Linked DNA regions of Elephas maximus indicus. The protein of the gene in region 2 interacts with the protein of the main gene of each other region in a pairwise test. Links are inferred from orthologs where the notes say so. Each region holds a gene or a part of one and is shown on either strand. Other genes may lie near its edges.

Region 1 (7,881 bases), on a different chromosome or scaffold from region 2:
GTGCAGTGAATTACTTGATATGGCCTTTCTAGCCATAGTCTTTATAACTGCCACCAAATGACTGGGTGGGATTATGCAAATGAGGTGCTTATGACCCATGAATGAGACTGGATAACTTGTTAATAATGTAAATAAGGTGCATGGCCACCTTGTGGCCTAGAGTCCATGCAAATAAGGTGTATGGAACCCTAACATGGGGATTGGGCAGTTTTGCCATCCCATTGGGCCTAAAAGAGAGCCAATTCCACAGCAGAGGAGGACTTGACTGCCACCAAAAAAGAAGAGACTGGAGCAGAGCGTGTCTTTTGGACTTGGGTCCTGCACTGAGACCCTCCTAGACCCAGGAGACAGACAGAATAAGCTCTAACACCAGAGATGGCAAGATGGCAAGAATCAGGGGCAGAGAAGCAGCAGCAGCAGAGCCATGAGACCAGCAGGAGACAATGCAGTGAGCTTCCCAGCTCCCTGAGCGAGAGAGCTGAGCTCCTTTGGGCAGGACGCTTCCTGGTGCAGTGGGGTGCCTCTTGGCACTCACCAGCAGAGCTAAAAGGACTTTGTAACACTTGCCTGAGCAGGGTAGAGGCCAGGCCAGTCCAAAAGGCCCAAGGGGTCATAAGGTCAAGGACCAGACAGAGGCCAATATGTGGGCACAGCTGAGAAAGAGGCTGTCCTGATCAAAGAACTGTATCCTGAATTGTAACCTGTTAGTACCCTAATAAACCTCATGTAACTTTTAGTATGGTCTGTAAGTTTTGTGTGGCCATTCCAATGAAATACTGAACCCAGCAAAGAAGTAGAGAGTGCTGTGGGAAGGACGGCTGGTGTCAGAATTGCTAAAAAGGCTGGAGGACCACCCCCAACCCCACCCCACCCTTGCCTCACAGGAATCAGCCTTGGGTCATTGATGCTAATGATTCTCTCCCCCTTGTGAAGTTAGTGGAGGTCAGATGCCCCCACCATGGCATTTTTACAGATATTACTGGTATTGTTTGATAATTTCCACATTCTGGGAGGATCACCTTTCTTTGGAATGGACACAAATATGGATTTCTTCCAGTTGGATGGCCTGGTAGCTGTCTTTCAAATTTCTTGACAAAGACAAATGAGCATTTCCAGCGTTGCATCTGTTTGTTGAAACTTCTCAATTGGTAGTCCATCAATTCCTGAAGCCTTGTTTTTCACCACTGCATTCAGTGCACCTTGGAATTCTTCTTTCAATACCATCAATTCTTGATCATATGCTACCTCCTGAAATGGGTGAACATTGATCCATTCTTTTTGGCACAGTGACTCTGTGTTTTCCTTCCATCTTCTTTTGATGCTTCCTGTGTTGTTCAATATTTTGCTTAGAATCCTTCAATAGTTCAACTAAAAGCTTTAATTTTCTCTTCAGTCCTTTCAGCTTGAGAAGTGCTAAGCATGTTCTTCCCTTTTGGTTTTCTAACTCCAGGTCTTTGCACATTTCATTATAATACTTTATTTTGTCTTACCAAGCCACCCACGGACTGCCAAAAGAACAAACAAATCTGTCTTGGAAGTACAAACAGAATGTTCCTTAGAAGCAAGGATGGCAATACTGTGCCTTACATGCTTAGGACATGCTGTCAAGGGGGATCAGTCCCTGGAGAAGGACATCATGCTTGGTAAAGTACAGGGTCAGCGGAAAAGAGGAAGACCCTCAACAAGGTGGACTGACACAGTGGCTGCAACAATGGGCTCGAGTATAACAACAATTGTGAGGACGGTGTAGGACCAGGCAGTGTTTCATCCTGTTGTGCATAGGGTTGCTGTGAGTCAGAACTAACTCGACGGCACCTAACAACAACTACAACAATTGAGCCATCCCTTGAAATCTTCTGTTCAGCTCTTTTACTTCATTGTTTCTTCCTTTTGCTTTAGTCACTGGATGTTCAAGTGCAACTTTCAGAGTCTCCTCTGACATCCATTTTGTTTTTTTCTGTTTTTTTTTAATGACCTTTTGCTTTCTTCATGTGTGATGTCCTTGATGTCATTTCACAACTCATCGGGTCTTCAGTTATTAGTGTTCAATGCATCAAATCTATTCTTGAAATGGTCTCTATCTTGGTCCCCTCCAAAAGCCACAGGGTCTTGAATTAAGTGTTTTGATTTCTGCTCGGATTTATAGGAAAACTGTGGCAGCAGTGTGAGAGACTACAGAGAGGGAATTGAAGTCAGGAGACAGAAAACAACAGAAATAATCCAGTCAAACAGAAGGATGAGTAGTCTGAGCAGAAATCATAAAACCAGTGGTTTGGAAGTGATCTAAGGTAATCTAGGTCAACCTTCTACTATCTACTGCTTAAGTTGGGAGTGGGAGAAAAGATCTTAGAATGTAAGCTCCACTAGAGAAGAAGTCCTCACTGATTTACTCCAGGAACCTAGACAAGTGCCTACCACATAATATGCTATTCAATAAACACTTGATGGGACGAATGTGGCAGTGCTATATAGAGTATGCAGTGCCAACAGTTTGCGCTCAACTACTAACCAAAAGGTTGGTGGTCTGAATCCAGCCAGCGACACCATGGAAGAAAGGTCTAGTGATCTACTTCTGTAAGATCACTGTTCTGTGCCATTGAGTTGATCCTATATGACAGAGTAGAACTGCCCCATAGGGTTTCCTAGGCTATAATCTTTATGGAAGCAGAATACCAGGCCTTTTCTCCTGTGGAGCCACTGGTGGGTTCGAATCACTGATATTTCAGTTAGTAGCCAAGCACTTAACCATTGCAAGACCAGGATTCACAACCATTGAAAGCCCTATGCAATTCTACTCTGAAACACATGGGGTTGTCATGAGTCAGAATTGACCCCATGGTAAAAGAGTTTTTTAAATATAGGAAAGGAGAAAATTTTATCAGAACTTCGCAGCTGAATTTGAGGAGAAAGGGAGGAGTTGAGAAGAAACTCACAAGTGACAGAACTGAGCACGTTGGGAAGGGGAGCCAGTTTTGGAGGAAAAGTATGACTGGGAGCTATGGAACTGTGGAGTTTCCAAGTGGTGTAAATGGTTACTTTGGTTGGATGCTAACTAAATGGTTGGAAGCTCGAGTCCACCCAGACACGCCTTAAAAGAAAGGCCTGGATTTTACTTTTTTAATTCGAAAAACAGCCATAGAAAACCTTATGCACAGTTGTACTCTGGATATATATGACGTCACCATGAATGGGATTCCACTGACAGCAGCAGTACTGGTGATCAAACTTGCATTTCTAATATAGCCCCAACCTCATTAGCTTACTTTAACATGACCTTTACCTAGAAAGGATGGAAATTTCCAAAAATCCTCTAAAATACAAAACCAAATCCGATGCCCTGGAGTCAATTCTGACTCATAGCGACACTTCAGGATGAAGTTTAACTGCTACTGGGTAAGAGCTACGGCTGCTAATCAAAAGACTGGCATTTGGAATACAGCAGGCGTGACTTGGCAACCATGTGGGTTAGTTCTACTCTGTCCTATGGGGTCGCTATGAGTCAGAATCAACTCCACTGCAATGGGTTATAGGGTTTTCAAGGCTGTCAATCTTTAGGAAAGCAGACTGTCACATCTTCCTCCCGCAGAGCTGCTGGTGAGGTCAAACTACCAATCTTTTGGTTGGTCAGCAGCCGAGCACTTTAACCACTGTGCCACCAGAGCTCTTCAAGAATCCTCTAATGATCTAAAATTAATGTTTCTTCCTAGATGCTGCCCGCACCCTCCACGGAACGCACACAAATTGGAGGAAAGGAAGTTGGTAGAAAAGCCTGCAGGTGAGGGTTCAGGGCTATAGTCTTGTCCCTGCCGCAATTACAGCATCCTCCCTAGTCTTGGGGCGACCATCAAAGGAAGATTTGGAAGAAGATAACTTAAAGTAATAGCGTGGAGGTGGAAAAAAACAGACACAGGATCATGTCCAAATCGTGTAACTTCTGGCTCCAGACCCGCCGTCTGAGGTGCTGCTGGCGCCAGCTGTGGAACTATGACCCAGTCTGGGTAACGGTCGCCAGCTTAAAGGATGGCAGCCAGGAGACGTCTAAGTAAGTCAAAGTTGGGGCGGCTCCCTCTGAGAAGGCAAAACACTGTCCTCAAAGCGTATTGCGTCACGTGCCGAACACCCGTTTCCTTAGCCCCAGATCCACCTCTGCGACTCAGCTCCACGAGCCGCACCAATGTACGCATACGCACAAAAGCCACGTGCGCCTTTTCAGCCCCTTCCGGCACAACCTTTACGTCGTACGTTCAATGGCCTGTCGTAAAGGCCAGGCAAGTGAGGCCTCGAGACATAGGGCACTCACGCGGCACAGCCTACCCTGCTAGCCGGCAGGCGCGCGCAAGTCCCTGAGGCAAGCCGGGTAGACTGGAGCCAATCAGGCGCGCTGACGTCACCCCGGAGCTGCTGGCCGTGCCGCACGCCGGGACGTGGGAGGGCGTAGCGGGTTTGGTTGCACCAACACCGGTTCATAGTCCCGGACAGGCGTGTCCTTGGAGTTAGAGAGCGGGACGTCCGGCTTTTGAGCGGTGACCTTCGAGTTGCGCGCGAAGAGATAGTGGTAAGCACGGGGCCCCGGAAGGCTCAGCGGGTAGGAGGCTGAGCCGTGAGGGGCACACACCTACGTGGCGGGCGCGCGGGCGGCTAGAGGTCCGCGTCCGGGACTGCCGGGTGGAGCCCGTGTGGGGCAGGCAGGACCTGGAGTGACGACCCGGGGCTGTGGTCAGGCAGAACCCAGTGGGCCAGGCTGGATGGCAGCGGAACCCCATCAAGGTAGAAACAGGGATTCGGCCAAAGCCTTGAAGGCCCGAAGGCGGCTTGAATGCGGATCCGAAGAAGACGCAGGCCGTCGCGTTTTCGGTGCCGAGGGACCTTGAAAATAGGCAAGACTTGCTCCCCGGTGAGGAGGAGTAGGGAGACAGCGGCACTTCTCGTCTTCCTTCAAAGAAAATAAAAGCTGCTTTTCCTTTCGTAAGGGATCATTTTTTCAGATCAGTAGTGGCTGCCCCCGTTAACCTGCTGAGGCATCGCAGTAAGGCGGTTTTCATCTTAGTTTCCTTGAAAGCGGCCTGTATGGGTGACCTCGTGATGGCTCCCGGGGATCCCAGAGCTGGGAGGGTGAGCATGTCCCTGGGGGGAACCTCGCAGAGCCCTCACCTGCCCCTAATTCAGAATTGTGATACTTCTGTGACCTTGACTTGCTATCTTGAAACTGGTGCTTGAAATGGGTTTCATTTTGCTTACTTGGGCTTTAATCTTAAATCCCTTACACACATACAGAAGTGTGTGTGTTTGAGTCTTTTTTTTCTAAACAGTGTTTTGATATTAAAGAGCCTGTTGGGAGTGTACTAAGTAAAACAAGATTCAACCTGGTATTTAACATCATAGAGTAGCAATGGATTCATAATTAAGTGACTGGAGTGGTCATTGGTTTCCACTGTATTTGTTTCTTGGGGGAAGAATTACTAACTTGGAGCTTTCATTCACTTTTAGAATTCAAAATGGGTGATGTCGAGAAGGGCAAGAAGATTTTTGTTCAGAAATGTTCCCAGTGCCACACAGTGGAAAAGGGAGGCAAGCACAAGACTGGGCCAAATCTGCACGGCTTGTTTGGGCGGAAGACTGGTCAAGCCCCTGGATTCTCTTACACGGATGCCAATAAGAACAAAGGTAAGAGGGGTATGGTTGTTAATAACCAAAAGTACAATTGCATGACTTTAGCTTACAGTAAACCCTTTATCAAGAATGTGAAATATTTACTCAGTGAATCTCTCCTTGCATAGGTATCACCTGGGGAGAGGACACACTGATGGAGTATTTGGAGAATCCCAAGAAGTACATCCCTGGAACAAAAATGATCTTTGCTGGCATTAAGAAGAAGGCAGAAAGGGCAGACTTGATAGCTTATCTCAAGCAAGCTACTAATGAGTAATAGTTGGCCACTGCCTTATTTATTACAATAGTAATGTCTCTTGACTTTTTTTACATGTACCGTATTTAAAGTGATCTCATACACCAGAATTCAGATCATGAATGGCTGATAGAATGTTTTTGTTGGGCATTCCTGGAGTAAATAAGATTGGCTGTGGTTAAATAAATACGATCTAACTTTTTAAATTTTGATAGTAATTTCAGTTCAGCAAGTGGTATTCCTTTTCCCTTTTAAAGATGTGTTTGCACTTGAGGCTAAATTGGATTAATAGTGGTCGATTTTTCACAAAGATGGTAAATGCCATCTCACAACCTATAAGAGATTAATTTTATATTTAGATTTATATAATTGGTGACATGGATATATTTAAATAGTGGGGAAACTTCTTCACTGTCTAATGGAACAGAGCAAGACTGTATTTCAGTTTGTAGTCATCAGCCTATTTAAACACAAGGGTTGGAGATAAGTTAGTTATGGCCACTTTATTGTTTTGCTCATAACTATGTCAGTCTAATTAAAATTCCCTGTATCTAAAGTGTTGCCTTTTAATTAAGAAAAGGCATTGCAGTGTGGTTTGTTTATGATATCAAAAAAGAATATTTAAAAAAAAAAAGTAAAGACTAACACTTCTCACATACTGTAGATGATCTAGAAGGTCAGATCCTTTTAAAAGTCAGCATGATGAGATATAGTAGCAAGTTGGATTTTAAATTCTTTACCATCTAACACTAAGTTGCAATTCAGGATTGTCTTTAAGCAGCTATTCAAAAACACATAAAACTGTTGAACCACTGTATACGTGTGATTGGTTATGGTGCTTTTATCAACTTGTTAGAAGGATTAAAGTAGAGGCAATATATTATAGGCACAAGTTTGTAAATTGGTCATCAGGTTTAATGTAATTAAAAAATAACATTATAATTTTTTGAATGTGCTTGATTTAATGACTCATGTCAAAATCATAATGGTTAAAAAGTGTAATAGCTCTGAAGACCCACAAAGCAACATCAATAATTCAGTCTTAGAGTTAGCTTGGCCAGAATAAGAACTACAGCATTTACACAAGATGTGGGTAGAAGAGTGTGCCCTGGTCAAAGTTTTGTGATAACGTAACAGTGTATAATTACGTACTAAATTATTTTACACACAGTTTTTTTTATACATATTGAGAGTAGCCCCTGGAAATTTTATAGAGAAGGTGAACTAAACTAAGCTGTAAAGAATGGTGAGAATTTCTCAGTGAGGGTAACAAATCTGTGCTGGTGGAAGAGTATTTATCTTTGTGGGATAGTAAGGAGACTGGGAAGAGAAACTGGTCAGTTATTTCAAAAATGATGGAAATTATTAGATAGGCGTTAAAGGTCTGAGTAATTTGTAACCAGTGAGCCTTATTTTCAGTCAAAGGGAAGATGAGAAGGTGAGGAGATCAGTCTGGACACAGATGGCAGAAACAATCTGGAAGGCAAAGGAGAGCCCACTGTAAGTCATATGAAATCCTAGCCGGAGTGCTAATGGTGGGGGATTAAAAATTGGATCCAGTAAATCCTTCAGAGGTAAAGCCTTTTAGCAGATCTTAATAACTGCGTAAGTTAATGGTATTCAGAGACAGGAGCAATTAGCTTTTAAAGGATAATTCTAGACCACCACCGAAAGTCTTGGCAGGCCAGAGAGTTCATTTTCATGTATCTTGGGAATAATACAGAAAATGAGCATGGTTAATGAGTACAAAAACTTGATCTTAAGAGTTACTGGGACTTTCATTTTGGTCTACAAATTTAGAAACTTAATTTTTATCACTTAACCCAGAAGTGATAAAAAAAAAAAAAGTTTTCAAGCCTTTATAAATTAGCTACCATCAAATTGACAGTACCATCTTAAGATGGCTGGCTGATTGACTCAAACCTTGCTTTAGAGCCTGGATTGATCATATATACAGAGAATATCAGTAATAAATA
Region 2 (7,962 bases):
TTTTACTGAGATGCCATAATGAGATACCACTATACAACTACTAGAACGTGTAAAAATGAAAAATATTTACAACTTCAGATATTGGAGAGGATATAGCAACCAGAACTCTTACTCATTGCTGTATGAACGTAAAATGGTACAACCACACTGGTAAACAATTTGACAGTTTCTTAAACAAACACCTACCATAGCAATTATACTCCTCGAGATTTATTGAAGAGAACTTTATAGATATGTATACACACATACACATACAAAAAGAATATTGAATATACCATCGACTACCAGAAGAATCAACGAATCTGTCTTGGAAGAACTACAGCCAGAATAGAATGTTCCTTAAAAGTGAGAATGGAGAGACTTTATCTCATGTACTTTGGACATGTTATCAGGAGGGACCAGACCCTGGAGAAGGACATCATGTTTGGTAAAGTAGAGGAAGACCTTCAATGAGATGAGTTGACATGGTGGGTGCAACAATGGCATCAAACATAGCAATGACTGTGAGGATGTCACAGGACCAGGCTCTATTCCACTCTGTTTTACATACAGTCACTATGAATTGGACCCAACTTGATGGCACCTAGCAACAACAAGAGTAAAAAGACTTGCAGAAGAATGTTCAGAGCAACTTTATTCGTAACAGCCCTGTCTTAATTATCTAGTGCTGCCATAACAGAAATACCACAAGTGGATGGCTTTAACAAAGGGAAATTTATTTTCTCACAGTCTAGTAGATTACAAGTCCAAATTCAGGGGGTCGGCCCCAGGGGAAGGCTTTCTCTCTCTGTCAGCTCTGGAGGAAGAGTCCTTGTCCTCAAACTTCCCCTGGCCAAGGAGCTTCTCAGGCGCAGGGACCTTGGATCCAAAGGATGCGCTCTGCTCCTGGTGCTGCTCTCTTGGTGGTACGAGGTCTCCAACTGTCTGCTTGCTTCCCTTTCCTTTTATCTCTTGAGAGATAAAACGTGGTGCAGGCCACACCCTAGGGAAACTCCCTTTACCTTGGATCAGGGAGGTGACCTGAGTAAGAGTGGTGTTACAATCCCACCCTAATCTTCTCAACATAAAATTACAATCACAAAATGGAGGACAACCACACAGTACTGGAAATCATGGCCTCACCAAGTTGATATATATTTTTGGGGGAGATGCAATTCAATCCATGACAAGCCCCACTGAGGTTTCCATTAACTTCATTCAAATAATTTGATCTTTTTCTGGTTCCTATGAGTCGCTATGAGTCGGAATCGACTCGATGGCATTGGGTTTTTTTTTTTTTTCTGGTTCCTGACAGATAACCTCTAGAATCTTGGGATTTCTCCAGTTATTGAAGTATCTTTCTTATCGAAGAGAACTCCAGACCCGACAAGTTATGCTAAAGAGGTGACTCAGGTGGTACCTAGACAGGCTAGAAAGACCACCACGTGATAGCAGCCAACTTTACGGAGGTAGGGCATGAATCAATCAATCATGCATACTAACTGAGGTCCCAAAATTGATGCTGGACTTGGCAGCTCCAGTGACTGCCTAATTGGTGAAAGATGTCAATACACTTGGGAGAATAGTGAGTCCCTTTTTGGGACATGGAAGCTCCGAGTTGAGAACCCTCCCAGACCTCACCCTATGCATCTCTTTATTTGTATCTTTTTCTTGTAATACAACTGTAATACAAGTATAACGCTTTCCATGAGTTCTATGAGTTGTTCTAGCAAATTATGGAATCTGAGTTAGGAGAAACTAAGTCAGAAGCGAAGGGACTTGGGAATCCTGAGCTTATGGCTGGTATTCTGAAGGGGTAAAGGGAACCCCTGAATTTGTACATAGCAGGTCAGAAAAGATGGGGGGGCCACTGGGGACTCCCAAGCTTGCAGCTGGCATCTAAAATCTTGGGCAGACTTGGAAGTCTGGAGAACAGTGCCCTATAACTTGTGAGGTCTGACCTAAATCCAGGTGGTTAGGGTCCGAGGAGGAAATGCTGCATGTGTAGCTGGTATCAGAACAAAAGTGGAATGGAGGGGAACAGAACTGATAAAAAAATTGACCTGAGATTAATTTGATTTTTCTAAACAGCCTCAAGCTGGAAAAAACCAGAAAGTACATGAACATGGAAGAATGGATAAAAATGGTGGTGTATTCAGGCAAAAGTCCTTTGCAGAGCATGAAGTACCATATAAAGGTGTGGAATCATGTTATTTTATGAAAAGCAAAAAAACAACCACTACCCCAAAATAAATCTCCCATTGGTCTGCTGTGGGACCTAAAATAGCTGTCATTTTAGTTACCCCTTTGATTTAAGGCACCGAGTCTCAAGAACGTCCCTGTTAACTTATAAAGAAATCCTATGAAATAATACATTAAATAATTATCATAATATTTAAGGGAGCCAGCTCCAGCTGTGATAGGTCACAGTGGAAAGCATTTATTATTGGCAACAATAAAAAGAAGCAATGGAAAGCAATAAGAAACACTACTGACGCGTGCAACAACTGAGTAGGAACAAACCTCACAAATACGCTGAGTGAGAGAAGTCAGACAGGTACAAGGAAAGCTCATACTCTATGATTTTGTGTAATGAAATCCAAGCATAGGCACAAATAAGAAAGGGCACAAGGGAACATTCTGGAGTGATGGCAATGCTCTGTGTCTTCAGAATGTTGTGGGTTATACTAATACATGAATTTTTCAGAGCTGATTTAAAGAGACACTTTTCACTGTATTTAAATTATACTTAAATTTTAAAAATCACCTAAATGCTATTGTGCTTGTTTTAAAGTAGTTCTTACACCTTATGGATGTATGTGGAAGTATTTACAGATGAAAAGATGCTTGTAGTATCTGGGATTTACTTACAAATAGAGGGAGCTTTGTGACAACATGTGTAGGCGTATAAATGTGGAAGTTGTGTGGTATTCACATGAGGGTCCTTTAGTCTACTCTACTTTTGTATATGTTTGAACATTTTCCGTAATAATAAATTGAAAAGAACAGAATCTTTTGGGTTCATTTTCTCATTTACCAAAGAGTCATCGGGGAACAGAAGCAGAAAATAATTGTTTAAGGTTTAACCAGTTCCCAGGTTCAACCTTCTTTCTCTGATCCCAAGGAAACAAATTATGAGCTACTGTTTTTGGAAAGCCTGCTTTAAAAAAAAGATAAAACAATAGTGCAAGGAGGTATTTAAGCAATAAATATTTATGACCTCAGTTTCACTCTCTACTTTTTTCTACTGAATATATATATGTAGACACATAAAAAAATTTTTTTTAAATGTATATGTATGTATGTATACCCATTGGGACCGTGTAGGAAAGAGGAGAACTGCCCCTTAGGGTTTCCAAGGAGCGGCTGGTGGATTTGCACTGTCCACCTATATATATATATCCTCGAAAACATCTTTAATAAATAAAACAAATAAACAAACAAAAAGCCATACAGCAAAGACTTGTTTTTTCCTTCAAGCTGTGAAATCATTCTCCTAATCCAGGCAAAAGAAAGCAAAGGCCTTCTGCTAGAGGGAGGAGCTTGATTCTCTATTCTGGTCCGATCCAGGAACATCTGTTTCCTCCCAAGCTCTGAAAGAGGTGAAAATGTGTTAAGCGATGCAAAAAAAAAAAAAAAAAAAGACGTTTTGAAACTCGAGCACGTGCGTTCGTGTGTGTGTGTGTCTGACTGTCTGTCGGTCCGTCTGTCTGTCCAGAGGGGGCTAGGGGAGGTTCAGTGTCAACTTCGAGGGCAGAGTGAATCTGAAGTTAGAAAGATGAGTTGAGTGCTTCTGAGTCTCGGTCTTACAAGCAGCCGAAGGGAAATTGGAATCATCGTTCAGGGGGAAAAACCAGACTGGATTTGTCTCCTTCATCCAGGTGCTTGGTGGTCTGGAAAGTAAATTCCATTTAGAGAGCGAAAAACCTTAGACTGACTGCTTGTTTTCGACGGCTGGGGAATATTTATTCCACAGATGGGGAAAAAAACCGGCGTCTGGCATCCTCTGATTGGTGGAAAAGAAAATGGTGACAGTGGGGTGGGAAGAGGATTTGTCGAGCTTCCTCCTGCCTCATCAACCTGTAACTCTTCCTTACTAGTCTCCTCTCCACCTGCAGGACATTTTCGGACTCATCCGAGGTTAGGATGGAGGATATTTGAACAAAATCGACCTCTGACTTTGTATTCTGCGACCGTTTACCAAATTTAAGCGATCGGAGAGAAATGTGCTCTTGTCGGTACGTATATGAGCACCATCCTAATCTATCTGAGTCCTTCAGCAGCTCCTCGAGAGATTGCTTCTGGCTCCCAGGGGTTGGCGCTGACTAGGGGTCCTCACGAAGAACCAGAGCGAAAGGAGGAGACAAGGAAAGAGAGGCTGTGGGAAAGCAGGAGAGACATCAGCCAAAGCCTAACCGCTCACGCTCGCCACAGGACTCCCCCGTGACCCTGAACTTGAGGTGACACGCCGAACATTCCACCTTCCTGCCTCCAGGACCAGGCGGGAGACTGGAGTTGGAAAGACACCCCCTTCCGTCCCTCCACCCTCCATCCAGGAAAACGAGCGAAGCGCACGAGGCAAGGAAAGCAGAGGGCGCCTGGAGTGGGGCGGGGAGAGGCGCTGACAAATCAGCTGAGGGGGCGGTGAGCGCAGAAGAAGGAGGAAGAAGAGCAGGAGGAGCAAGACCACGACGACCTGAAGGGGGCCGGAGAGAGGGGGCGAGCGACCGTGAAAGGCGAGGCGGGACAGTGAGGTGTGTGCTGTCTTTAGAGCGGACCTCGGGACCCAGCCCCGCCTTAGCATCCTTCTCCAGCTCTCGCCGCCTTCCCTTCCGACCTTGTCTTTCTCTTGGATCCTCTTGTGCGGGGGACGGGGAGTGGTAATTTGACGACAGGTTCGCGGGTTCGCCTCCCACGTCCCCAGCCTCTCGTCGCCAGGTTGTGCTGACAGCAGCCTCCTTTGGGGGACCCTCCCTCTCCTGGAGCTGCTCCGCCCTTCCTGGGCACTTCTCTCCTCCCAGTTCTCATTTCAATAACATTTGCTTAAATTTAAAAAGAGGGGGAGGAAACAGAGTTTCGGAGGAGCAGAGGGGCTCAGGTAAGTACCTGTGGAGCTAAAGGGGCAAGGAGCTTTGGAAATCTTGGAGAAAATCTGGTGGGAGATGAGGACGCCTGGGGGTGGAGGGCGGGGGGGTTGCTGCTGCGGTCAGGACAGGCTGTGCCAAGTCTCTTGGCGGTGGTTATTTGTGCTTTTGGTGAGCTGGAGGAAAGTAAGTGGATTTGGCTTTCCACCTGATTCCCATATTCTCCTTACCCACCCCAAAGGCTGAGAGATCAGGCTGATTCTCCGGATACGCTTTTCCTTTGGGAAAGGCGAGAATGCTCAATGGACGGATGAATTTCCAACTTTTATTACTCCCTTACCTAAATCCTCCACTCCACCCTCTCTGTTTTCCCTGTAATGTAAGCAAGCTGCATTTTGCAAAAAAAAATTAAACGGAAGTGCCAGAAGAACAAGTCGACATGTGTTAAAGGGTTAACAGGTGCAGGCCCAGCCTTCACCACTGGACACGGGGTCCCCTGGCCGGTTAGGGCGGAGAACTGCCCCTCGGGTGGCGCTAATCTGGAGACCACCAGCCGGTGTGAACAGCGCCTGCACTGGATAGATAGCAGAGAGTGGGGTGGATGGTCCAGTGGATTAGGAGGGCTGGAAGCCTGCTTCTGTCCAGAGGTACAGCCACACCCGGTGTGGGGGGTGGGTAGTTCTCTTCCCGCCTCTTTCCACCAAGATCAAGCTTTCAGTCCTATTCTGGGATTCATTTCTAGGATGCCTCTGAATGCACACCTACAACTCCTTTTCTTTTCTTTTCTTGTGGTTTTCTTCTAAACATGCATCTAACTTAAACTGTCACGAGTTGGATCCTAGGAAGTTGGAAGAGGGGTCCATCCTTTCATGCTACTCCACTTGCAAAATGCAGTAGAAACAGTCCTGATGATCCATCCTAATCCATGTTAGGCAGCCAGACTTTTACTGGCAAGGTGGATGAGGGACGCTAAATTTTTAAAGCAAAATCTAAAGAAGTGTTGTTTTGTTCAGCCATCGGAATGAGGATACACTTAAAAGTTTGTGTCTCACACTTTTGGGATTTCTACTGATTTCTCAGTGGTTTTTACCTTGGGTGCTTTTAATTTTGTTTTGTTTTACCAAAAAGTTCTCATTCAAAGTGTATTTTGTGTTCTCCAGGGTGGTGTAAAGGAATTCATTAGCCATGGATGTATTCATGAAAGGACTTTCAAAGGCCAAGGAAGGAGTAGTGGCTGCTGCTGAAAAGACCAAACAGGGTGTGGCAGAAGCAGCAGGAAAGACAAAAGAGGGTGTTCTCTACGTAGGTAGGTAAACCCCGACTGTCATTTTAATATTTATCCATGACTGATGGGTTAGGATGGTTGATGCTCTAAATGCTGTTTTTTTGCTTGATTCATCTTTGCATCATCACTTGCAAAGAGAATGCACTGAGTCACAGGTATGTGTGGGTAGGGGAATGTGTGCATTTCGGCTAATAGTACAAAATGAAGATAACCTTTTGTTTTTCCTGATTATTCAATTTTATAATAATATTTAGGATTTTTTAGTTCCTTTTTTTTTTTTAAATAAGTGCCTCCCTGCATTAAAAAAAAACAAACCTGTCGCTGTTGATTCAGTACTGACTCATGGTGACCCATGTGTATAAGTGACTGTACTTCAGATGAAGTTTTTAAAATTCAGAGACTTATAAAAAATAATCAAGAATATTCTTAGGAATCAAAATCATTCATAGGTCTTTGATTTCTTTTATCATCATAATGTTTCCTAATTTTTTATGTATTCTGATTTTAAATAAGATTTAGATATTGGATCCCTGGTTGCAGAATGGTTAGGTGTTCGGCTATTAACCAAAAAAGTCGGCAGTTCAAATCTACCAGCAGCTCCTTGGAAACCCTATGCGGCAGTTCTACTCTGTCCTATAGGGTTCCTATGAGTCAGAATCGACTCAATGGCAATGGGTTTCGTTCAGTTTTGGTCTGTGATGTATAAAAAAAGACGTACTGTGGCCCTAAAATGGAAAGGACAGATTAGTCTTCGGTGGAGTTACGTATTGTAGCCATCTGGTAGGCTGAGAAAGTGGTTGAGAACTACTGCTAATATCTCTGCAACGTCTATATAATACATTTCTCAAACGGCACATACTAAATAATGAGATTGATGCTTACCACTTCTACTCGTTCCTAAATTCCCACCTTGGAATATATACAGAAGTCTTGATCTTTTTTCCTTATTTATATCTAGAACTGTGTTAGGTTGGGTGTTATTTTACAAACCACTTCAAATTCTTTGGGGAAGGCGCTGTGATATAACAGGAATAGATACACACACACACACTCCCACACTCAGCCACTCTGCTCATTCTTTTTGTTCTCTTTCTCCTTTTCTCCTTTTAACTCTTCCACATTATCTGGGAGCAGCTATAGTAGCAGTAACCATGGGGTGAGTAGTAAGGTGGAGGATAACTATACTGGATGGCATAGATGACACTGGTGCTATCCTGTGTCTGGAGGGAGAAAGAAAGCTACGCTGTTTATGCAGTGTAGATTAGCAGGAAAAAAATTATACTTGGAATGATTTTTATGAATGCCTTTCATCAAAATTTACATCAGATTATTATTTTTCATTGTTCATAAACTCCTTTTTATGTAGAGTTGATCTTACCACAAATCTTCTATTAAATTACTTTCTCTACCTTAAAAGATATTTTCAGAAAAATCATTGAAATAAAGAATGTTATAAAGCAGATAAACTTGATGAATTAATGTCAAGTTTGTTGTGAAATATGAGTTATATTTCTTTAGGTGGAATTTGGAATACTGAATTAACGACATGTGCTTTATTATATCTTTGTTATCTGTTCTAACTTTTCCAAGTTGTGTAAGTACATGCTTGTAACT

Evidence for each region. The genes of interacting proteins can lie anywhere in the genome.
Region 1: the proteins of SNCA (region 2) and cytochrome c interact in binary tests that used the Homo sapiens proteins (3 or more experiments, as listed by UniProt). The link is inferred for Elephas maximus indicus from reciprocal best matches to the Homo sapiens genes SNCA and CYCS.

The regions. Positions count from the first base shown.
Region 1 is NC_064826.1:86,186,465-86,194,345, reverse strand, and holds cytochrome c, read left to right. Parts: upstream 1-4,421; 5' UTR 4,422-4,555; intron 4,556-5,487; 5' UTR 5,488-5,495; coding exon 5,496-5,664; intron 5,665-5,777; coding exon 5,778-5,926; 3' UTR 5,927-6,834; downstream 6,835-7,881. UniProt on the Homo sapiens protein: Electron carrier protein. The oxidized form of the cytochrome c heme group can accept an electron from the heme group of the cytochrome c1 subunit of cytochrome reductase.
Region 2 is NC_064823.1:65,340,119-65,348,080, forward strand, and holds the start of SNCA (alpha-synuclein), read left to right. Parts: upstream 1-4,646; 5' UTR 4,647-4,733; intron 4,734-4,760; exon of another isoform or gene 4,761-5,077; intron 5,078-6,223; 5' UTR 6,224-6,248; coding exon 6,249-6,369; intron 6,370-7,962. UniProt on the Homo sapiens protein: Neuronal protein that plays several roles in synaptic activity such as regulation of synaptic vesicle trafficking and subsequent neurotransmitter release.